4 linked regions of the Drosophila melanogaster genome follow. The protein of the gene in region 3 interacts with the protein of the main gene of each other region in a pairwise test. Each region holds a gene or a part of one and is shown on either strand. Other genes may lie near its edges.

Region 1 (4,261 bases), on a different chromosome or scaffold from region 3:
GAAGTAAAATAAGTGATGAATGCTATTGAACTTTTCAAAAACTTTAATAGTTAAAACAGGATCATGATCTCATCGAACTCGTTCATAGTCCTTCAACATCCATTAAAGTGCGAACTATTAAAGTCAAAAGCTGCCTGTAACTTATTCTATTTATGAGCCCATCTTAACTAGAGAGCCCTGTTATATTCAATGGTTACTGGGTGTGGAGAACAAGTTTCGCCCGAAGTCAACGCCTGATTCCAGCATTCCACCTCCTGACAACGTGCCAAAATAGCCCTGAAGGTTTCTATGGAAGGGCCCAACTCCAAACTAATTGCCTGGGCACGCCTTTAACTTCTTCACAAAATGGGGAAGGGGATCTCATCAAGCGCCAATGCATATTCATAGTCATAACGAGATTTGAGGTCTGCCATGTTCACACAATCTTCCTCTTCTCCGCCGACTTGAGACATAACTCATAACTGCACAATTACCTGATTATTTTAATTAGCCTAAAAATAAAATTAAAATAAAAAAGTTGAGCAAGTGCAGGAAAAAATTGAGGTGACAACACATAGGAAATGTCTAAATATACGAACAAACGCTGGCGATAGCATAAATCACCGGCGAGGGGAAACAGGGAAACTGTAACTGCAAACAAGTTAATGAATGTATCTGTGGGATACATCTGCATGGAGAGAAAGACTCGACAAATAGAGTTGGCCGAAAAGCAAAAGGCGGCTATAAAAAGCGTTAACAAGACAACAACAGCAATTGGCGAACAATAAAATACACTTAGCAGCCGAAGAAGAAGCGAATAACCACTAAATTGCTGTTAACAATTCTTGGAGTGCCCAGCCAAGCCAGTCAGCAAAGGCAAATACATTTTTCTGTCTGCCAAAAGTGGGTCAGCAAGAAAAGCCTCCCCCTTTCCATTTTATAGAAGTCTTCAATGCCAGCCGCAAGCGTTTTCATCAGCCAACTCTGCAAACGCAAACTCTTTCTCTCGCGTGTTAGTTAGATTTTAACTACCGTTTAAGAAGTATCGTACGGCTACTCTCAACTCTTCGCAACTGAACTCCACTCCGCTCCGCTCCTCTTGGCGTCCATTAATCACCTTCAGTCGGTGCAAAGAGTCAATTCACCAGCGAACAGCCTGCCAAATGTGTTCCACGCAACTGCTCAATCTCCGTATCTTTTGGGTGCCTGGAACGAGGCGCACATTTGGCTTTTATCACTCGATCCGCACCAAATAAACTACAAAGCCCCTAACGCGAAAACAGAGAAAAACGTATTTGTGTTCCAGATTTTGGCGCATTTACGGCTTGCGTAAAAATTTCCGATCGGACCAGACCGAAGAAAATTCTGTTGCAGCTCTTAATGGGTTGTTGGATACAAAAACTCGGCGGGACATGAGAAAATAATCCGCACACACTGCAAATACTGCGAATAAATCACAGAAGTTGTAAACTCATTTGAAGTGCATTTGATTTGAGACAAGTAAGTCAAATATGATTCCTTTTACAAGCATAAACATTTTATTTATTCCCGTGCGATATCGATTGAGCTCTTTCCAAAATTTAACCGTGGTAGATGTGGTGTCCATAGGTGGGAACAGCGTAGGACTTCAGCACAGGGACATGCTGAACCACTGGGACATTCTTCACCACCGGAACGTGCTGCACCACTGGAACAGATTTCACCACGGGCACCACTTGGGCTACAGGAACCACACCGTAGGAGGGCTCAATGTAACCAGGAGCAGCAAAAGCCATTGCTACCAGGGCGAAGATCACAGCGATCTAAGGAGATATTTTGTAATATGAAAAATCACAAGGATTTACTTTATAATTTCGTGAACTTACAATGCGGAACATTTTGGTATTTTCTTAGTAATTTACAAACTTGACTTGGAGATATTGTCACTTGGATGCTTGTAGGACGACTGGTGATGCTGACCAATGGATCAGTTACTTTATATAGCCAAAAATCACTTCAATAACAACTTCTAAATGGGCAAACGTGTTTGGCCATAATTCTTCTGTTTAATTGAGAGAATGGATTTATCAGTTGACCCAAAGGTGCCTCATATAGGTCTTTTTTTGTGGACATGACCTTGGTTCTTGGTGATCATCACAAACGCGTGAAGACGATCGATATAATGACAATGGTCTTGGAAGTAAACAATAATAAGCACACGGATCTAAAAACAGCAAACAATTGAGAAGTCATTGAATGGGGATTATGTCCAAAGGTTAAGCAATAACGACCGATAACGGGAAGTTCGCCGCTGGAGATGGTTTCATACCAAATAGAATGCGCATTATTCGAAGATACCAAATTTAAGATAATTAAACTGGTTTGGCGCGTGGCGTTCGAACAGAAGTCATTTGTGGGCTATTTTCGGCTGAGGTGCTAACTACTATATATAATGATTCCACGGATGGTCAATCAACAACAGTCGTCCGGCTAACACAAACGTTCGATAACCACAAGTTAAAGTTTTTAACTCACAACAAAATACCAAAATGTTCCGCATTGTAAGTTCACGAAATTATAAAGTAAATCCTTAGGATTTTTCATATTACAAAATATCTCCTTAGATCGCTGTAATCTTCGCCCTGGTAGCAATGGCTTTTGCTGCTCCTGGTTACATTGAGCCCTCCTACGGAGTGGTTCCTGTGGCCCAGGTGGTGCCCGTGGTGAAATCTGTTCCGGTGGTGAAGCATGTTCCAGTGGTGCAGCATGTTCCGGTGGTGAAAAATGTCCCAGTGGTTCAGCATGTCCCTGTGCTGAAGTCCTACGCTGTTCCCACCTATGGACACCACATCTACCATGGTTAAATTATTGTAGCACAACCCCATTAGAAATTGACCCGACATAAATAAATTGCCAACCAAATCGAACTTATCTTTATTTTCTGGTATAGAGCGAGGATAAACTTTTGGGTCATGCCATCGGGACTGGCTTAATTTTTATACTTACAATTAAATGATGCATGTTTTTTCCTACATCAAGGAAATAATTCTCGTAAAAATTACGTACCCAACACCCTTTCGTGGTCAGCACTTTCCATTTTACACATTTTATAGCAACTAAAGTTGTCCGCAGACCCCAGTGGTTTCCATGGCTGACTGATTATTTTATGGGACATTTTGTAAAATTTAATTTCACCTCGCTCATTTTGTTATTTGCGAATAGTCACACATAAAGTCGTTAACAAGGCGGCAAGCTTCCAGGGGAAATTTCTTCATTAATCAGCGGAATAAAGTGACGCCTCTAAACTGCAGCTGCATCTTCTCCACCTCCCCCCCTCCCACCACCCCTTACCCGACAGACGTTGCCATTAAAACCCAATCCCAGCTCGTCTTTAATTTGAGCCAATTAAAGTGGCGACAAAGCAAAGCCTTACAGCCCGCTTCAAACACTCTGAGCCAGCCGCCTTTCCCTTTGGCTTTTTCCCCGGTTGCGGTTCGATCTCGTGTCGATGATGAACCTGAATGGATCGTACATTAATTTTTCATTGTTTTTTATTTGGGGCTTTATTCGGGTTATTAAATCGCTGGCTAGAAAAACTCTCAAGCGATTTGGTAAAACAAAAAAAAAAAATAACATCGAAATAAGCAGACAAAAATATAAAAATAAATTGTGTTCGAAAGTCAATTTTGTGAACAGGCTTTTTGGGCCTTTTTTGTGGCAGGTTTTGTTTTTTCTATTGCCAAAAGATTTATTGTTAGCGTTTTCTTCTTAATTTTCCCCACATTTCATTTCGGTTTCGATTTTCAGTTTCAGCTTTGTTTTTCAGCCTGCTGCTACCATTCAGGTTCCACTTCCTTTTCAGTTTAAAGTAAATTTCTCGGCCAGAGTTGGGCAATTTTATTACTCTATTAGGGGGAAAAAATAGTAATTTGCTGCTCGATTATGACGAAATCATTTGATCCGCTTCACATGTGACGTCGTCTTTTTGTTGGGCCTGTCTCTCCTTTTGTGTGGTTTCTTTTTTGTCTGTGGTAATGACTTCATCGTCGCCCAGCTACCCAATCCTATCCTATCCGCAGCTCATTTGATAAATTATCCAACAGTTTGTAATAATATTTTTCGTAGCCGCTCAGGGGGAGTTGCCTTCGATGCTTTTGTTTTCATTTTGTTAATTATCCGCTATAATTGTTAATTTAAATTATGAAGGAAAGTGAAACTCAATTGAACTTGAGAGACCCCCCCCCCCCCCCCTTCAGTCCATCTCTATCTCGTGTGTTATTCTCTTGTGGATTTGGGCGTGTTT
Region 2 (4,322 bases), about 14 Mb from region 3:
TCAATTATTTAATTCCTCCTCGGACTAACCCTTTTTTTTACACTTCCCAACGAGATAATCACCCGGAACATTAACCTTTTCAAGCATTAAATACTCTGTTAAAAATTCGATAAAGATCCGAGAAATCTAGAGATATATTCTAGACTTCATTCAAGCCCATCTTCCCAGTTAAATACCATTACAAATGAACCAAAAAAAGTTAATGAAAAACGTATAAACTGCAAGAGAAGTTTATTGCTTAAGTGGATGCTTCGGAACATGGAGGATACCACTGCCAAACGCTCCAATCGACGCAGCTTCCAGTTTTCGGATCGAATCCAGTGTTCTGCTCGCAGGCAACTAGCTCGGCCTGTCCGGTGCTAGAGCACTGCCAGTAGTGGGTTGGATCCCAGAAGTCACGGGAAATCTCTCCGGAGCGTCCCACGCAATCGGGCTCACCATTGCCATCGGGATTGCAGTCAAGGTCGGCGTAGATGGCAACGCAGAGGGTCAGGAAGAGAAGGACTAAAGCTGAAACAGAATTCCGCTATTGGCATCTCAATGGTTTCAGCGATGTGAGGTCATCAATGAAACTCACCTGCTTTCATTGTGGTTTGTTCGAGTGATTAATACCGAATGCGATTGGAACGCAACGTTCGACATTTTATAGCCACCTGCTATCTATTCCCTGACATATTGTCTGAGACAATCGGAGCTATACATTCTATTTCTTAAAGAACATGAAATCGTTTAAAAATAATCTCATGATCACGATTGGTATCTGTATCTCGACAATTCGAACATTTGACGCCGTCGTACAATTCGTTTTCAAACAAAGAAGTATATTTCACCAAGTGTTGTAGTATACTTAGTTATGATATTAAAATATTATTGAACAAAAAATTTGCATATGATTTGTTTGAATTGACCGGCTCCTATTTAGACAATTTATACCCTGTAAAACTTTACACACTGAGACACAGTGTTTTTGAAATAAACAAACAAATTTTGAAACCAAGCTCTAGTTAAAAAATAAAGTTGTTTGTAAAATTAAAGTATATTGTTTATACTTTATATGATAAAGTATAATTTACTTTTCTCTCGTTCATAAACATTTTATTGCATTAAATGCAAATTAGTAGCAATACGAGTACTGTCTAATCTTTATAGGTTTCCAAGATATCATTTGGACAAAAACATCTCAAAAATGTTATTTACAAATAATAATGAAACTCGTTAACACTCAACTGTACTCAACATCCTATAGAAAGCGACTGAGCAGAAACAAAATATTCTATATACCAATCTAGGTTGCTCTATAACATTTTCCCATATCTTCGAATACTCGCAAGAACATGAGATATTTTAAAAATCCAAACAATGTATGTAATCATTTAGTTTGCCATATATTTTCATTTTTGTTGTTATTAAAAATGCAATCAACAGTAAGCAGTCCAAGACCATTCGCTCCATGAAACGCACTCCTTCTTTGTGGGGTCGAATCCAGTGGACAACGGGCACAACACAGCCGTGGCCGTGGAGGTGGAGGACTCACACCACCAGTAGCGAGTGGGATCCCAGAAGTTGCGGATGTTCGTTTGCACGTTGGATGCGTCGCTGCAGTCGGGCTGGTTGTCAGAATTGGGATCGCACGCATTTCCGGTGCTTAGGAGCGCCACGAAGAAGGCAAGGCAGATCAAAAGTAGTGCTATGGGATCGGCAAAGGGTTGAAGTATATTTCAAATGGGGATTCCTTTTCGATTTGCTCAGCTAACTTACCGGACTTCATGGTGCAATTGAGTTCCCACTGGTTTCGTAAGTGTGCTTTAACTGGGCGAATTCGCAAGCTTATATACCCCAGACCGGCACTGATATTGGCTTTCATCAATAGCAGTTATCTCCGTTGGCGGGAAGCCTGTGCGAAATTCTATTTTGGCAGCGACATGAAATCGTTTCAAAATAATCGCACCTTGTATCGCCCACCGTATCTGTATCTGTATCTCAGCGCATTGTACGCGCCCCTAAGTTTTGTTGACGCAATAGTTTGATTATATGGATGTGTCGTAAAGGTCATGCCGCGTGCCACAATCCAAACTGGGTAGCACTCCTATCAATAAGTTAAATATAGTACAAAACTAGGACAGTAAGGTTTATAATCGAAATTTAAATTTGGGGGCTTCTATTCAAATACCTAATACTTAACCGTGGGGAACCCCACATTCTTAACGCAAACAAGTCATTAGAATTACGCATTTATATTTATATTAATATACTACCCTTAACTGTTGGTGATAGCACTACCGCACTACTAACCTGGTTTTTAATCAACCCATCCGCTATACCGTATACCATACATATCGAAATATAAAACTCCAAAATATAACATTAAATCGCAGTAGGTGTCACACAACTAATTATTTGCGATATTAATGATTACAAATTGCTCGTGATAAATCTCCCATAGCGATGGAGTCGAGGGTCACCAGCGGCACAGGTCCACCGAACACCATTATGATCCAGCTGGTGTCCCAACAGCCCAGTTCCTGTGGACAGATGCAGGCCATGCCCATTTCGGTGCAGACGATACCCTTGTTCCCCAATTCCAGAACATCGACAGAGCGACCTTGTCGATCGGTCTCCATTGCCCCGAATGTAAGACCTCCAACGGATGTCCCTCCTCCTCGAAGGAATTTAAGAATCCGACCCGAGGAATATGCGACACCCAAGCGGAAGAATTCGCAAAGCCAGTTTCGTCATTTCTCCCGCAGCATAAACCAACCTCCACCGGTGTACTATGTTCTTCGACCAGAAGACCGTATTATGCCCATCTACATACCACCTCCGAGGTTTAACAATGAGCAAGGATCAAGGATGGCGACGGAGTGTCCTTGCTGTGGCCATGCCAAGTCATTGAACCCGGAGGAACCTCTAAGAGTCCACGTAGCGCAGAAAGAGTTTGTCAAATTAGAGAAGGCAACTCCTGGACATCGGGATCAATGTACTAACACCATTGACCAGCCAGATGTGGGAAATATAAGGACGATTTACGAAACATTGGGACGCGCAATGGTCACTGCAGCCGTGGAGGCAGCCCAGAGATCCCAGCCAGCAGGACCCTCAGATCCGACAAATGTAATATTGAAACTATTAACCCAATTGGGGGAGCAGAATCAAACAACAGGCTTGAGTCCACATTCAGAAGCAGTAGCAGAAAGTCCCGACCACCAACCACATATGCGCAGGCCCAAAGCTAGCTTTACGGAAGCAGTCCGCATGATGGAGAGGACCTCGTCTGATCCTTCCATTGCTAAAGGGCCACCAGATGAGCTAGATGACCAACGTAGGCTTCCATCTGTACTCTCCGATGGTCGTCTTCGCGTCGAATATCCGAAAACGCCTAGACCAACACCAACATACTCCGTCGAATCTGAAAACACCCTCAGTAATCATATGTCCTCGGAGAGATTAAGACTCGATTCTGGTTCCTCGCCAAACCTGGGAAACTCCATTGGACATAGCCAAGCGTAGCAATGAAATGATCTTCACCGAAGTACCCTAGATCAGAATATAAATTATCTTCCACATGACCATAAATAAACTGCGTTGAAGCTTTAATAGTTGCGAATCCTTTGGAATCAAGTAAATAATTCTATAATGCATATATTTTAACCCCCTTTTGGGAAATCAAAGTGTTGTTTATTGCGGCAAAGTTCTTTGACTTTTTCTGTGACGTTGCTCTCAAGCTTAAGTAGACTTAACTTGCCCCATTTTCAGTTAAGTCACTTGCACAGCTTTATTCATTACTATATCTATATCTGTAAGTCGCTATTTAGCCTTGTAATATCGACGACAAGGTCGTCCTGATTAGATTCAATTAAATTGGGCTTAAGATAAGACTAGTGCAATGCAAAGTGAAAATATTCGAAACGTGTAGGACGATTGGCTTAGATTATGGGACATGTTGTGATAAGTGTCAAAAATGTTTCATATTTAATTTCACTGGTTTGCGGAGATAGCGAATTTCTGCGAAATACCAGCGCAATTCCCAATAAGCTGATAAGGTGACACGTTCCAAAAGACTACCATTTTTGCAATCGCGAGTCGTTTGCCGGAAACAAATGACATCAGTCGCTGCCATTTTAGATAGTTTTGCATCTCCTCCTTCCAATTGGACATACAATACATCTAATGACATGTTTTCGTGTCATGTTTTTCGTGTAATATTGCTGCCGTTTTTTTTTTTTTTTTTTTTGTCGATTGCAGCCAGCGGGAAACGGTGATAATTTCTTAACGATTCTTAGCCGAGTTTGCGATCTGGCATCGTTTCGAATGACTGCCGTGGG
Region 3 (4,664 bases):
CAGGAACTATTAAAACGAGAAGTTCGAGATTCAGCATAAAGATTGTAGAAACAAAGACGCAGCGCAAGATCGTTGACCCATGTTGCCACGCCCACTCTAGCGCCCAGAAACGGCATAAAAATGCCACGCCCAAACTTTTGAAAAATGTGTTTATATTTTTTCACGTTTTTATTAGTCACTTATTAATATTGAACAATATTTCGATTTCCGAATCGGTCATTTTATTTCCCAATATCTATCGATATCCCAGAAAAATGATGCACTTTCGCGTTCGTATACACACTAGCTGAGTAACTAGTATCTCACAGTCGGGGAACTCGGTATATCCGAGCATTATCTCTTGTTTTTAAAATATCTCTTTAGCGGGGTATTAAATAATAAAGAAAATTCAATTTGTTTTAAATTAATAGAAAGCACTGTTCATACATCTACCTTAGGTCACGCCTTCGTTCATGCATTTTCCACAATTGATTTCCTGATATTATCTATATACATTTTTAAACCAAAAAAGACAATAAATTATAATTTGGAAAAGCAAACCGGTACATTTTCAGACCAATAATAACGGTATGGAATTGTCAAAAATGTGTACGTTTTGCTTAATGTGAATTGTTTTTCCATTCCGAAAGTTTATTTTGCCTTCTAATACTCACTTCCGTTTCCGCTGCACAAGACCAAAGTGTGTTTCCGCTACCCTATTACCACTCCATTCGCCATTTGAAACTTTTTTCGTACTCATCGAACGAATTATAACAAAACCAATTTTCCATGACAAAAAGACAACAGGAAAAAACCAAATTACAAATCAGACAATTAAATACTCATACTCAATACTCGCAAAATGTTTGACATTTATTAATTAAAAATAGGATAAACTGTATATTAATTTTATTCAAATTGTCATCGGCAATAAAAGACAGCTTATTTCAATTTATTTCTTTGTTCCATTTCGATTTGTCATCTACATATTGTATGCAATACAGTGGCATAGATTAAAACAATACAAACATTACAAGAAACTGCATTTAGTACTCAAGAATGGTTACATGGTAGTGTATAGAGTAGTAGTATTTGGTTAGGGTTAATAAGGCTAATGTTTCAAAATGTGTTTTTAACTAAATCTATTAGTACCGCAAGCCCGTGTGTAATAACTCTTTTATGTTTCCTTTCGCCGATCAAAGAAATACATTTCTTCAAAAGCGTTGCAGCAAGAATAAGTAAAATTACCAGTTCCACAAAAATAGCCAATCTGAGCTGCAAATGACTTATATGTTGTATCGGCATAAAAATGTTTTTAACAAAGTCACTGCAACCTTGGGTGATAAGGTCGGGATGGTAGCAGTGGGTTGGAACCCCTTGTAGATAATCCATATAAGAACGGGGACCCTCCAGTCCACAGCATAAAACCTGTGAAAAGCAAAACCCTTGAAAGGGCAAATGAGCAAAGGCATAACACATACCGCATTTTCAATCGAAGGCCAATCTGTCTCGTTAAAATTGGAGTATGCCAGCCATTTAAGGTTTAAGCTATCCATGAATGTACTATAGCTCCTGTTCATGGCTTCTAGTTGTTTTGAAATTGTGAAGTAAGTCCAATGAAGGACGAGTATCTGCAGCGGTATAAGCTAATTTACAATTATCAACCTCACGTTTTTTTTTTGGTAAAGTCCTTACCCCGAGAACAAGCCAATCATCACGCAAATTGGCTAAGTATAGGCTGACCAAATTCAGGCAAATGGTAATGGAAACGGTACTTGTTAGAAAATTAAAACAGTTAAGCACATTAATGGTTATTTCAGCGCTTTTAAGTCGCAGAGTAAAGGGTATAATTACTCGAAATAACACAGCCAATACAAGCTAAGTGTAGAAAAGTTGTCAGTAAAAACTTGAAGACGGGCTGCTGATTAAATACTTACCCCAAATAAAATAGCAGTTAGCTTTTTTATCATGCCCTCTACCATTTTGAGAATTATTTTAATATACGTAGCTCAATTTTATTCTACGCAAATTGACAAAATATTCGAAGCTGGAAATAATGGCCTACCACATAAATTCAAATTTTTGTTTTCCCAATTATGTATGTATACGAAATCACGCAGGTTTTTCTATTTGTGTTTCAATTCCTTTTTTCTGGCAAAATTTCATTGTTGATTTATGGGATTTGCTATTTTTGACAGTTGTTTTTGCTACAACGAATGAGAGTGTGTGCGATAACTGTTTGTAGGTATAAACATGATTTTATAATCGGCTTTCTATATTAATTTTAATTTTATTTTCGGCATTTTATTATAATTACTCTTGATATATGTAAATGGTCATCGTTAGCAAAATTATCATTCCGTATATGGCTGTATTGTTGCTGCACTTGATGTCCACATGGATGTCCCTCAACTCGTTAGGAAATTTACTACGCACTTTTTGTTGTGGGTTTTCAGTTCGCCAATGGGCCATGCGAAAAAATATTTCTGTGGCTTTAAATATTTTAATTGTCGCTGTTGGCTCTGTTCTGTTATTTCATAATCGTATGCTCTTTGTTGTAAGTCAAAAAGGGTGTAGTTCGAAATGCACAATAAAAATTGTAATATTTTGGCAAAATATTTATAATTATTAATGCTAATTTCAACAAATCCAATGCATTTCTGGCATTCTATTTGGACGATGGCTAAATACTTTGGTGTTTTGTATCTGTTTGTGATATTTTAATTTTACTGTCGCATTTGATCATAAATTAAGCGATTAACAAATAAGGGGCACCGTGGGTTATGGGTGCTCTTTTGAATTCCCTCGATGTGGCAATGGATGGAAGGGGCCAGTAAAACTATATTGCTTTTGATAAATGCCGATGGTTAGGACTCAGAGTGCGCCGCATTGAGCGGTTTAGTACTTAGTACTCAAGTGATATTAGAATTCCTGGTAGATTAAAAAAAATAACAAAATAATTGAAATATGAAAATGTGTCAGAAATGTTTCATTTAATCATATCCAATCGCGTTTGCCATTCAAATAAATCTCAAAATATATAAAAACAAATTTTTTACATTACAGTGAAGTTTTTGATAAGCCATGTTCGATACAACTAAATACTTTCCGCGTTCAGTTGATTCCGAGCATCCGTCCCAGTCGGAGCACAATGAGTCCTTGTCACTGGATCATGTCGTCACCTACGATATGGTCCATAACCCGGAGGGAAGATCACCTGATCACAGTGTCATCGAAATGACATCGGAAGCTGACCGGCATATAGGACACGATGTCACTTCATCTCCCCAATTGATGATTATATTTGAAGAAGGCGACATCAACAGTGCACTGCACTTTATTATTGAGTCGGTTCATAATCCCTTTGCCTCGAATGCGGTGGCCATGGTTCTGGTTGAAGAGAAAATTCGCGGGGAGATCGTCGAGCGAATCCTGTCTAAGCTACATCCTCTTAGTAAGTTTGTGGCCGAACATCCTAGCTATCTGGCAGCACTGGAGAAATGCCACACCTCCAACTTTAACATAATAAGGGCCTGCATTTCGGAGGTTGCCCCACCAATGGCTTCACCCATTTTTGTGTGTGACTGTACGCACGATAAGCTGGGAAGTTACCCAACTGGAGTAGTAACATTTCACACATTCCGCAATAACCAGGAGGCCATTGCCATAAGTCAGTGCGAATCGTTGGCCTTCGCATCCGTCTCCATTTGGAACGAAACGCTAACTGGATGCTACGATCTCGTGGCGGCCCTCAGCTCGTCCTATTTTTTTCTAAACTGCGCCAACGTTGACTTGTCGCCAATTTTAAAGCCACACAAGGCCCAGAAAAATTACGTGGTAGTTGAAAACGGCTTTCACTTCGAAACCCTACGTATCTATGACAATTTCAAAGCCATTGTATTTCCCATTGGCGGACAAATATTGCCAGACATCGAGGATCACAAGGAGGAGCACGCAGCTATCTTCTTTTTGGAAGCTTAGTATTGGAATGACTTCCACGACTTCCCCTTTCATCCGATTTCGCAAAAGTGCTTGGCAGATTCAAAATTTAAAGTTATTTTGGGTGTTTTTATGGTTATTAACGTTCATGATGCGTGCCAATATACAATGTAAGTGCAGCTGTCAGCGGTAATAACAATATTTCTTTTCTTCCGGATATTGACTTTTTGGGCGTCTTAATGAACGCAGGTTTTTTGTATATAGGTTGCGAATTAATTCGACACAGCGTGACTAACTGTGTATTCGATTTTTTTAAATTTTATTGGGACATTGAGAAATGGTAAAATGTTGGTCTGTTATCTTTTCGCTTAAATATTGTTTTGTTTATTCGTGCCGAACACTGTAAGAATGTTTTCTAGCTCTGCAGCCGATACTTATATTCAACTTGGCAATCTGATACTGGGCATGACCGAATAAATTTACGATCGCACAGCATTCCGGAGTCACCACAAGCATCTGCCCCATAAAATCATTTTCTTTATGGGAGTATGATGAGCGTATGAGTGACGCCAAGTCGTCGCTTTTGGGCACTTAAGGTCTGAATCCAAAAATAAAGCCCGCTCGTCAGTGTAATTATCAGTTTTGTGTGTTTTTCTGCCTTGGAATTTATTCCCCATAAATCTCCCGCATGTATCTGGCCCAATAAGGGGGAAAGGCTTATCAGGTGCAGTCACACCCTCCTCTGG
Region 4 (6,891 bases), 2.4 Mb from region 3:
GTGGGCACTTGGTGAGGAAAGGACACGCCTTCCAGTAGTGTCGGTCCAACTGAGTAGCGTCACTGCCGGCACACGACCAGTCGCAAAAGGGGCAACGTCTAAAAGAGTATTAATATTATTGCGGATCCTTGAAGAATTCAATTTTACTACACACATTTTGGGTGTGTTGTCTTCAGTGGACTCCGAGTTGGAAGCGGATCCCTTGCGCGAGTTGCTCACGGATAGCATGGAGCGCTTGAGCTGCTCGTTGTACTGCTGCTTTCCATTGCAGCTGGCATATCCATTACTGGAGCTGGCCATTGGGCCTAGGTTATGACCACTGCGGCTATTCATCAGTCGAGAGGCATCTGAGCTGGTGGACGCCTTATCCGCCGGCGGTGTTGCCGCATCGCCCGAGCTGTGACCCCCGCCATACTTGCTAGCCTCCAGCAGCTCCTGCTTGCGGTCCAGATCCAACTTGTCAAATTCGGTGAAGAGTTGGCGGTACAAGAGATTGCGACGCGTGATGTCGTCATCCGGAGGTAACTGCTTGCGCACCAGTCGGGGATTCACCTTGTAGACGAGCAGCAGGATGCGCTCGGCCACCTTTCGCACAGGCTCCGCTGGATGATGGATGCCGGAGCAGCCGCACTCGGACAATGCCCTGCAGGTGAGTCCACTATGCTTGTCCGTGCTAATGCCCTGAGTGTTGACCAGCTGCTCCAGCATCTGCAGCCGACTCATTGCCAGTCGCTGGTGGGTTCCGGATCCAACGCTTCGTGATAGTGCTGGCGCAACCAGGTGCTGCTCCGCCACCTCCGGACAGGCGGCGATGCTTAGGATCGTGTGCTGGGCCAGAGTGTGCAATCGAGCAGATGGATCGCCGGACTTGGCCAGCAATTCGGGCAGCAGGCGGTCCACGCAACGTGCCACCTCGTTGGGGGAAACTCGACCGGGCACATACTCTAGGAACAGCATGCGTACCGTCTCAGTAGCTTGGCTAAACACGGAGTAAACGGCATCTCTTACAGCGCGATGCAGCAGAAGGGCGGCGCTGCGGGCCACTTTGTTGGGACTGGCAGCGTGCTCGTTGCTCGACGCCTCTAACAGGTCGTGCTCCTTTAGGAAGTTACGCAGACGCATCAAGCCATCCTCGCGGTCCTGAAACTGACGCGAATAGAACTGCTCCACCTGGGAATATACATATGTAGGGCACGTATTGAATATGTTATCTATTGGATTTAATGGGGGACTCACCAGCTCATTGCCGAAGACCAGGATGGGAAGCGCTGCCTGGCGACGCTCGCGGTCGTTCAGGCGCGAACGCCCACGGTTCGGATCCGCTTCCAGTAGCGCGTTGCCTTGGCACTCCCTTAAAAATTCATTAGTATTTGAACTGTGAGCGGTTTGTGTTTGTTGTATCGGAATGGCAACGTTTACGGATGCGGTTACAATATACATATAGGAGTAGAAAGGTAAGTACGATTAAAGGTAAATCTAACAACATGTTACTTTCAAATGCGTTCAAATAACGCCTAATTTAAAGTTTTGTGTATAGTTTCGAAATTTCATTATATGAAATTAACTATGAAACCGTTCAAACTATTTTTAATCTTTTATAAAAGTTTCTAAGTTGTTAATAAAAACATAAATACTTTTCTCTAAAAGCAAATTTTAAATACTTTTTAAAATATCTAAAAGCAAAATTTCTGTCAAAAAGCCTAACATTTAAAAGTATCTCAAAAATACCTAATTTCAATATATAAAGAATTTTTGCTTTTGCTTTAAAAAGATAAATCCTTTTCATGTGTTTAGAGCAGATAAAACGGCTTTACTTAAAATTAAGCTAATAGATTCTCTTTCGTTCTTTGAAATTCTGGGCGAGCGTTAAATCTTAAATTAAAAAAAGTAACGGGTGTTGTTTCTAACGGTCGCTAGTGTTGACAAACATTCAAACTAAGAGTACCGGTTATCATGCAACACTGTAATAGACAGCTGTTTCCAGTAAACAAACGAAGTAATTACTATTCCACAATTGTTTACGTATTCACTAGACACCCAGACAACGATTACGACTCTCTACGCCCGCTACTCACTGTCGCAGCGTGGGAATGGCCCGCTCCTCGTAGTCTTCGTAGGAGTTTCGTGGAACGCTCTTGTTGCGCCTGCGCAGCGATCCCTGTCGGCTGGACATTGGTGAGCTGTGCCTTGAAGGCAGACGTGGCGACTGCGGCAGCTCGTCGTGGGACTTGCGCCAGCCCCCCAGCGTGGGAGTGGGCGTGGCCTGCAAAGAGGTGGGCGCAGGAGCGGGTGCTGGAGCAGGTGCCGGAGCTGTCAACGTATTGTCGTTACCAGGCTGGGAGCCATCGGTCGAGGATTTGTCCTCTAAGCTGAGACTCGTCATGCTCTTGGGACTGAAGGTGGCTTCCGCAAGTGCCTGTGCCACATCCTGCAGGCTAGGAGCCGATGGCAGACTGGGCTTCCCACCCGCATAGATCTCGCAGCTTTGGTCATTGGAGCTTAAGGTCACACCCTGCGGTTCCAGAAGCTGATGCACCTGCAATTGTCGAAGTACTGCCGCCCGGTACATCTCGATCTGCTCCTTGCGTAGCCTGGCCGTGGTAAAGTCCTCCTGCTGAACAGCCTGCCTCTTGGCCAGAGCATAGCGCCCCAAACGTTCTCCGGCAGTCCTTAAAGCTGTCATGCATAGCTTCAGTTTGCGGGCGTACTCGAATCTTTCTGAGTTAACGGCCAAAATCTTTCGCTGTTCCAACTCTCGGATGGTCTGCACTATTGACTCCTCCACATACATGGAGAAAAGCAGGTCATCACAGACGGAGGCCAGGGCCAGTTCTCCGGTGGCCGTGTCCAACGGTGGGGCCTCGTTGGCCAAGTGCTCCTCTCCGTTGCCATTATTTGGCCCCACTTCCAGATCCTCGCCCAGGACATTTACCGCTAGTAGGGAAATCTGGCCTGTGTCATTGTAGTCGTTTCCTTGGACGCCAATCAGACGCAGCTTAAGATGTGTGCCCCTACGTGGACACACGGTTACGCTCTGCAGCTCCCGAGACTTGTAGTTCGTGTTGGCATTATCCGCCAGGGCAACAAAACCCAAAAAGTCAAAGTACTGCGAGGATGGAGTGCTGGGCAGGGATTTGGGCGAGTAGTGCAGCCAGAGTTCTACTTTCTCAGCTAAACGAAAAAACAACACATTATAGGGAATACTCAAGCTGTTTGTTTATATGTTCATCTTTGATCATACTAAAGATCAGGCATTGATTATTTCTAGGTACTTATTAGGCTTGTAGCCAATTCCAATTAACTTAGCACATTAACTTACGTATAAGATACTGGTGTGCCAGGAGCTGGATGCGATAGATCTTGGCCGGCTGCTGGAATCGGAGGATGATGTCATGTGAGGTGAGGCTGCCGTTCGGAGCACTTCGCCATCCGTGAACTGTGGGGCCGTGATTGTTTAACTCGCTAGCCGGAAAGTTAACATCCTCGTCTGAAAGGCAAGCGAAACGATCCAATCATCATTACTTTCATGACGTTATAACCTATGTATAGGTGGCGCAGGCCATTATGACTCTCTTAATAAGTCTCTTTTTCGCACACTCAGCTAAATAGTTGCACATGATAACGATATCGGACTATGTTTCGTTCTCTTTCGGTTGCTAAGCTAACAGCAGCGGTCAAAACGAAAGCTAGCATTCAAGCGTGCCCAAAATAATAAGCCTTAAAATCTATTAAATATTCAGAAACAGGTTATCAGTTATATATGCGATGAAACGTATAAAATGGAAAGCATAAACAAAAACATTTGAGTTACTTTAAGAATTCTCAACTATCACTATTTATTCGAACGCAGCTGTACGAGTACAAACGAATCTAACTTGTTGTTCTCTATCCTCAGGTTCCACGCTCTTCTCTTCTATATTTAAGCGATGTCGATGTTAACATGCTAGTTTAGTCGTCGCTCAGCCGTTCGTGTTTTGTTACTGAATCAGATAGTATTATTGAATCTTTTGAAATGGCGGAGGGTTACACGAAAGCCACTGCCTGGCTGCAAATCCACAGCCTGCTGAATAGCATCAACCACATTCTGATCTTTCTGGTGGCCGTCTTCTTTTTCATACTGGCGCGCAGTCTGGAGTTCAAGGATACCGCCATGCATATGTTTATGACCGGGACTGGAGTGAGTACACGGCGATAAGCACTTGGCCACAAAATCAATAGTGTTAGATCGACCTGGATAACACGGACATGCAACGTCACTTGTTATCTTATCGAACTGGAGCTGAATTAAAAGGCTTTTCTTGCTCTCGACAGTTCCACGTCCTTATCGCCCAGGCCATGATGTCGCATTCGAAAGTGAACCCGCTCACCCGTTGGCTGTCGCACCGAAACAAGTCGCGCTTCCACGCCATCCTGCAGATTGTGGGTGGCTCCATGGTGCTGTTGGGCTCCCTGGGTAAATTTTCCAGCAAGGAGGTGCACTTTAACACCTGGCACGGCCGAGTGGGTGAGTAAATAATTAGGTTAATTCAGGAAAACCGATTAAAGCTGACATTTTGCAGGGGGAGCTGCTTCCTTTTTCTGCGCGGCCAGCATTGTAGGCGGTTTTGTCAACTATTTCCAGCCCAAGTTCGCCCTGAAAGTAATGCCTCCATCAGAGCTTCGCTTCCGCCATAATCTATTTGGATTGGTCACCTTTAGTCTGGGAATGGGCGCCATTTACCTGGGCTACTATTCGAAATTCTTTACCAAGTATGTGGATACTGACTTTATTCCCGGCATGATGCTGATTACCGGCATTGTTTATGGACTCACCATTATCGCGCCGGTGTCATCGCTTCTAACTAAACTTAAGTATCGGTCCAAAAAGAAGGCGGAGCAGGCCCAGTAGGTGATACTGGGGAGGATGAGGCTGAGGCCATCGAGGCTAACCAAAATTTGTCAGGTCCTAGCATGAAAATAAAGAGCTTGGCGTTTGGCCAAATTTAAATCTCTGGCCGCAACTCAAATTGCACATGCAGACACAAAAAGAGTCGACAACCCGGCAGTCTGACAATATTATAATGAAATATTACAGTCATCGTGGTTGCAGTGGTTTTAGGACGTGGTAAATTGGCCGAGACTTTGGAAAATTGATTTAGCATCCTGGCCATATTTAAATCGGACTATTGCCAGCTGATTAGCTGCAATTAAAAAGGCAGCGCCAGTCTATTTTAAATTCCAACGTCCTGGCGCACTAGGCGTATGCGTGATTTATCGATTTCTCAAGTGCAGCGAATTTTAAAGGAAGAAAGGGAGGTGGAAGACGTTTAGCTCTCAGCCAAATCCTGTCGCAACTAAAAATGCAATTAAGAACATAAAAAACACACAAAATAAAGCAAACAAATAAGAAAACTATAAATAATAAAAATCTTTCTGCAGCTTTCAGTTCATAATATATCCGAAGTTTTGTTTACCTGAGGCGAACACCACGTTAAAAGGTATTTTCTTAGCCATGTTGACGTCGCGCCGTCAAAAGCGCACTACTTTGCCACTTTTATTCGCTAATCCGCACATAAAGTGAGCACTTATTCTTAAAGCGGCCGTTCGCGAACTGTGTGACCGCACAATTTTTTATGATTTTTACCCTTGTGCTCTGGAAAGTATACTATAAAACTTTATTCGGCTGGGCGAATATACCAAAAACATACATCATCTACATAGAATGTTATTTGTTCAGCTTTATATTAAAGTCAATATTTTGTCAAATTAGATATTTTAATATCATTTATTTAACACATTTAAATTTACATTTGGAATTCGATACGTTTTAGCCACTATCTAACTATCTAGCCACTATCGACTTCGCTATCGATTCGAGCCAGCTGTTTTGTATTATTGAATTGACCAACACTCTTGTAGTTTTAATTGAAATTATTTACACGGTTCTTGAGAACAATTACAATGCCAACAAATGGCCATAAATACAGCATTTTGATGCCCACTTACAATGAAAAGGATAATTTGCCCATTATAATATGGCTAATTGTGAAATACATGAAGGCGAGGTGAGTAGCGGCTGCTCTAAGGTGCAAATTCAGGTATTAATTGCTCCCCCTTTGCAGCGGCTTGGAATACGAGGTGATTGTGATTGATGATGGTAGTCCGGATGGAACACTAGACGTGGCCAAAGACCTGCAGAAGATCTACGGGGAGGACAAGATTGTGCTGAGACCACGTGGCTCCAAATTGGGACTCGGAACGGCCTACATACATGGCATCAAACATGCCACCGGCGACTTTATAGTTATCATCGATGCGGACTTGAGTCATCATGTGAGTCTAGATAACAGGGTTAAACTAATAATAAGATAAACTAATAAGCTATATTTTTTCCGCTTCAGCCCAAATTCATTCCCGAGTTCATTAAGCTGCAACAGGAGGGCAACTATGACATTGTATCCGGCACTCGGTATGCCGGAAATGGAGGTGTCTTTGGCTGGGACTTCAAGCGCAAGCTCATCTCGCGCGGCGCCAACTTTTTGTCCCAGGTGCTTTTACGTCCGAACGCCAGTGATTTGACCGGCTCCTTCAGGCTCTACAAGAAGGATGTACTGGAGAAATGCATTGCCAGCTGCGTGTCCAAAGGCTACGTGTTCCAAATGGAGATGCTCGTTCGGGCTAGACAGCACGGCTACACCATCGCCGAGGTGCCCATCACCTTCGTGGACCGTATTTATGGCACCTCCAAGCTCGGCGGGACCGAGATTATTCAGTTTGCCAAGAACCTTTTGTATCTGTTTGCGACCACATAAAGAGAAAACCACCATTAGCTGGGTAGATTTTTAAATTTTTAATGTTCTTTGGATTTTCTTTGCTTTGTACATTTGGTAAGATTTGCTCAAAGAATTTTAC

What was found.
Region 1: the proteins of CG31600 (region 3) and CG34267 interact in a two-hybrid assay, tested with the Drosophila melanogaster proteins (one large-scale study listed by BioGRID).
Region 2: the proteins of CG31600 (region 3) and Peritrophin-15a interact in a two-hybrid assay, tested with the Drosophila melanogaster proteins (one large-scale study listed by BioGRID).
Region 4: the proteins of CG31600 (region 3) and CG10165 interact in a two-hybrid assay, tested with the Drosophila melanogaster proteins (one large-scale study listed by BioGRID).

The regions. Positions count from the first base shown.
Region 1 is NT_037436.4:498,518-502,778, forward strand, and holds CG34267 (uncharacterized protein), read right to left. Parts: upstream 1,935-4,261; 5' UTR 1,857-1,934; coding exon 1,845-1,856; intron 1,782-1,844; coding exon 1,560-1,781; 3' UTR 1,497-1,559; downstream 1-1,496. Other genes in the region: CG34268 (uncharacterized protein), read left to right, coding at 2,508-2,519, 2,583-2,822.
Region 2 is NT_033779.5:8,394,295-8,398,616, forward strand, and holds Peritrophin-15a (Peritrophin-15a), read right to left. Parts: upstream 1,803-4,322; 5' UTR 1,769-1,802; coding exon 1,759-1,768; intron 1,688-1,758; coding exon 1,419-1,687; 3' UTR 1,371-1,418; downstream 1-1,370. Other genes in the region: Peritrophin-15b, read right to left, coding at 239-510, 578-587; CG13385 (uncharacterized protein), read left to right, coding at 2,446-3,507.
Region 3 is NT_033779.5:21,913,342-21,918,005, forward strand, and holds CG31600 (uncharacterized protein), read right to left. Parts: upstream 2,018-4,664; 5' UTR 1,962-2,017; coding exon 1,917-1,961; intron 1,858-1,916; coding exon 1,675-1,857; intron 1,626-1,674; coding exon 1,461-1,625; intron 1,408-1,460; coding exon 1,099-1,407; 3' UTR 928-1,098; downstream 1-927. Other genes in the region: CG11634 (uncharacterized protein), read left to right, coding at 3,064-3,960.
Region 4 is NT_033779.5:19,525,374-19,532,264, reverse strand, and holds CG10165 (uncharacterized protein), read left to right. Parts: upstream 1-1,959; 5' UTR 1,960-1,996; exon of another isoform or gene 1,997-2,075; coding exon of another isoform or gene 2,076-3,171; intron 3,172-3,268; exon of another isoform or gene 3,269-3,319; coding exon of another isoform or gene 3,320-3,487; exon of another isoform or gene 3,488-3,494; intron 3,495-3,895; 5' UTR 3,896-4,012; coding exon 4,013-4,177; intron 4,178-4,311; coding exon 4,312-4,504; intron 4,505-4,559; coding exon 4,560-4,888; 3' UTR 4,889-5,355; downstream 5,356-6,891. Other genes in the region: CG10137 (uncharacterized protein), read right to left, coding at 1-98, 155-1,170, 1,237-1,351, 2,076-3,171, 3,320-3,487, 5,454-5,493; Dpm1 (Dolichyl-phosphate mannosyltransferase subunit 1), read left to right, coding at 5,941-6,044, 6,102-6,312, 6,381-6,791.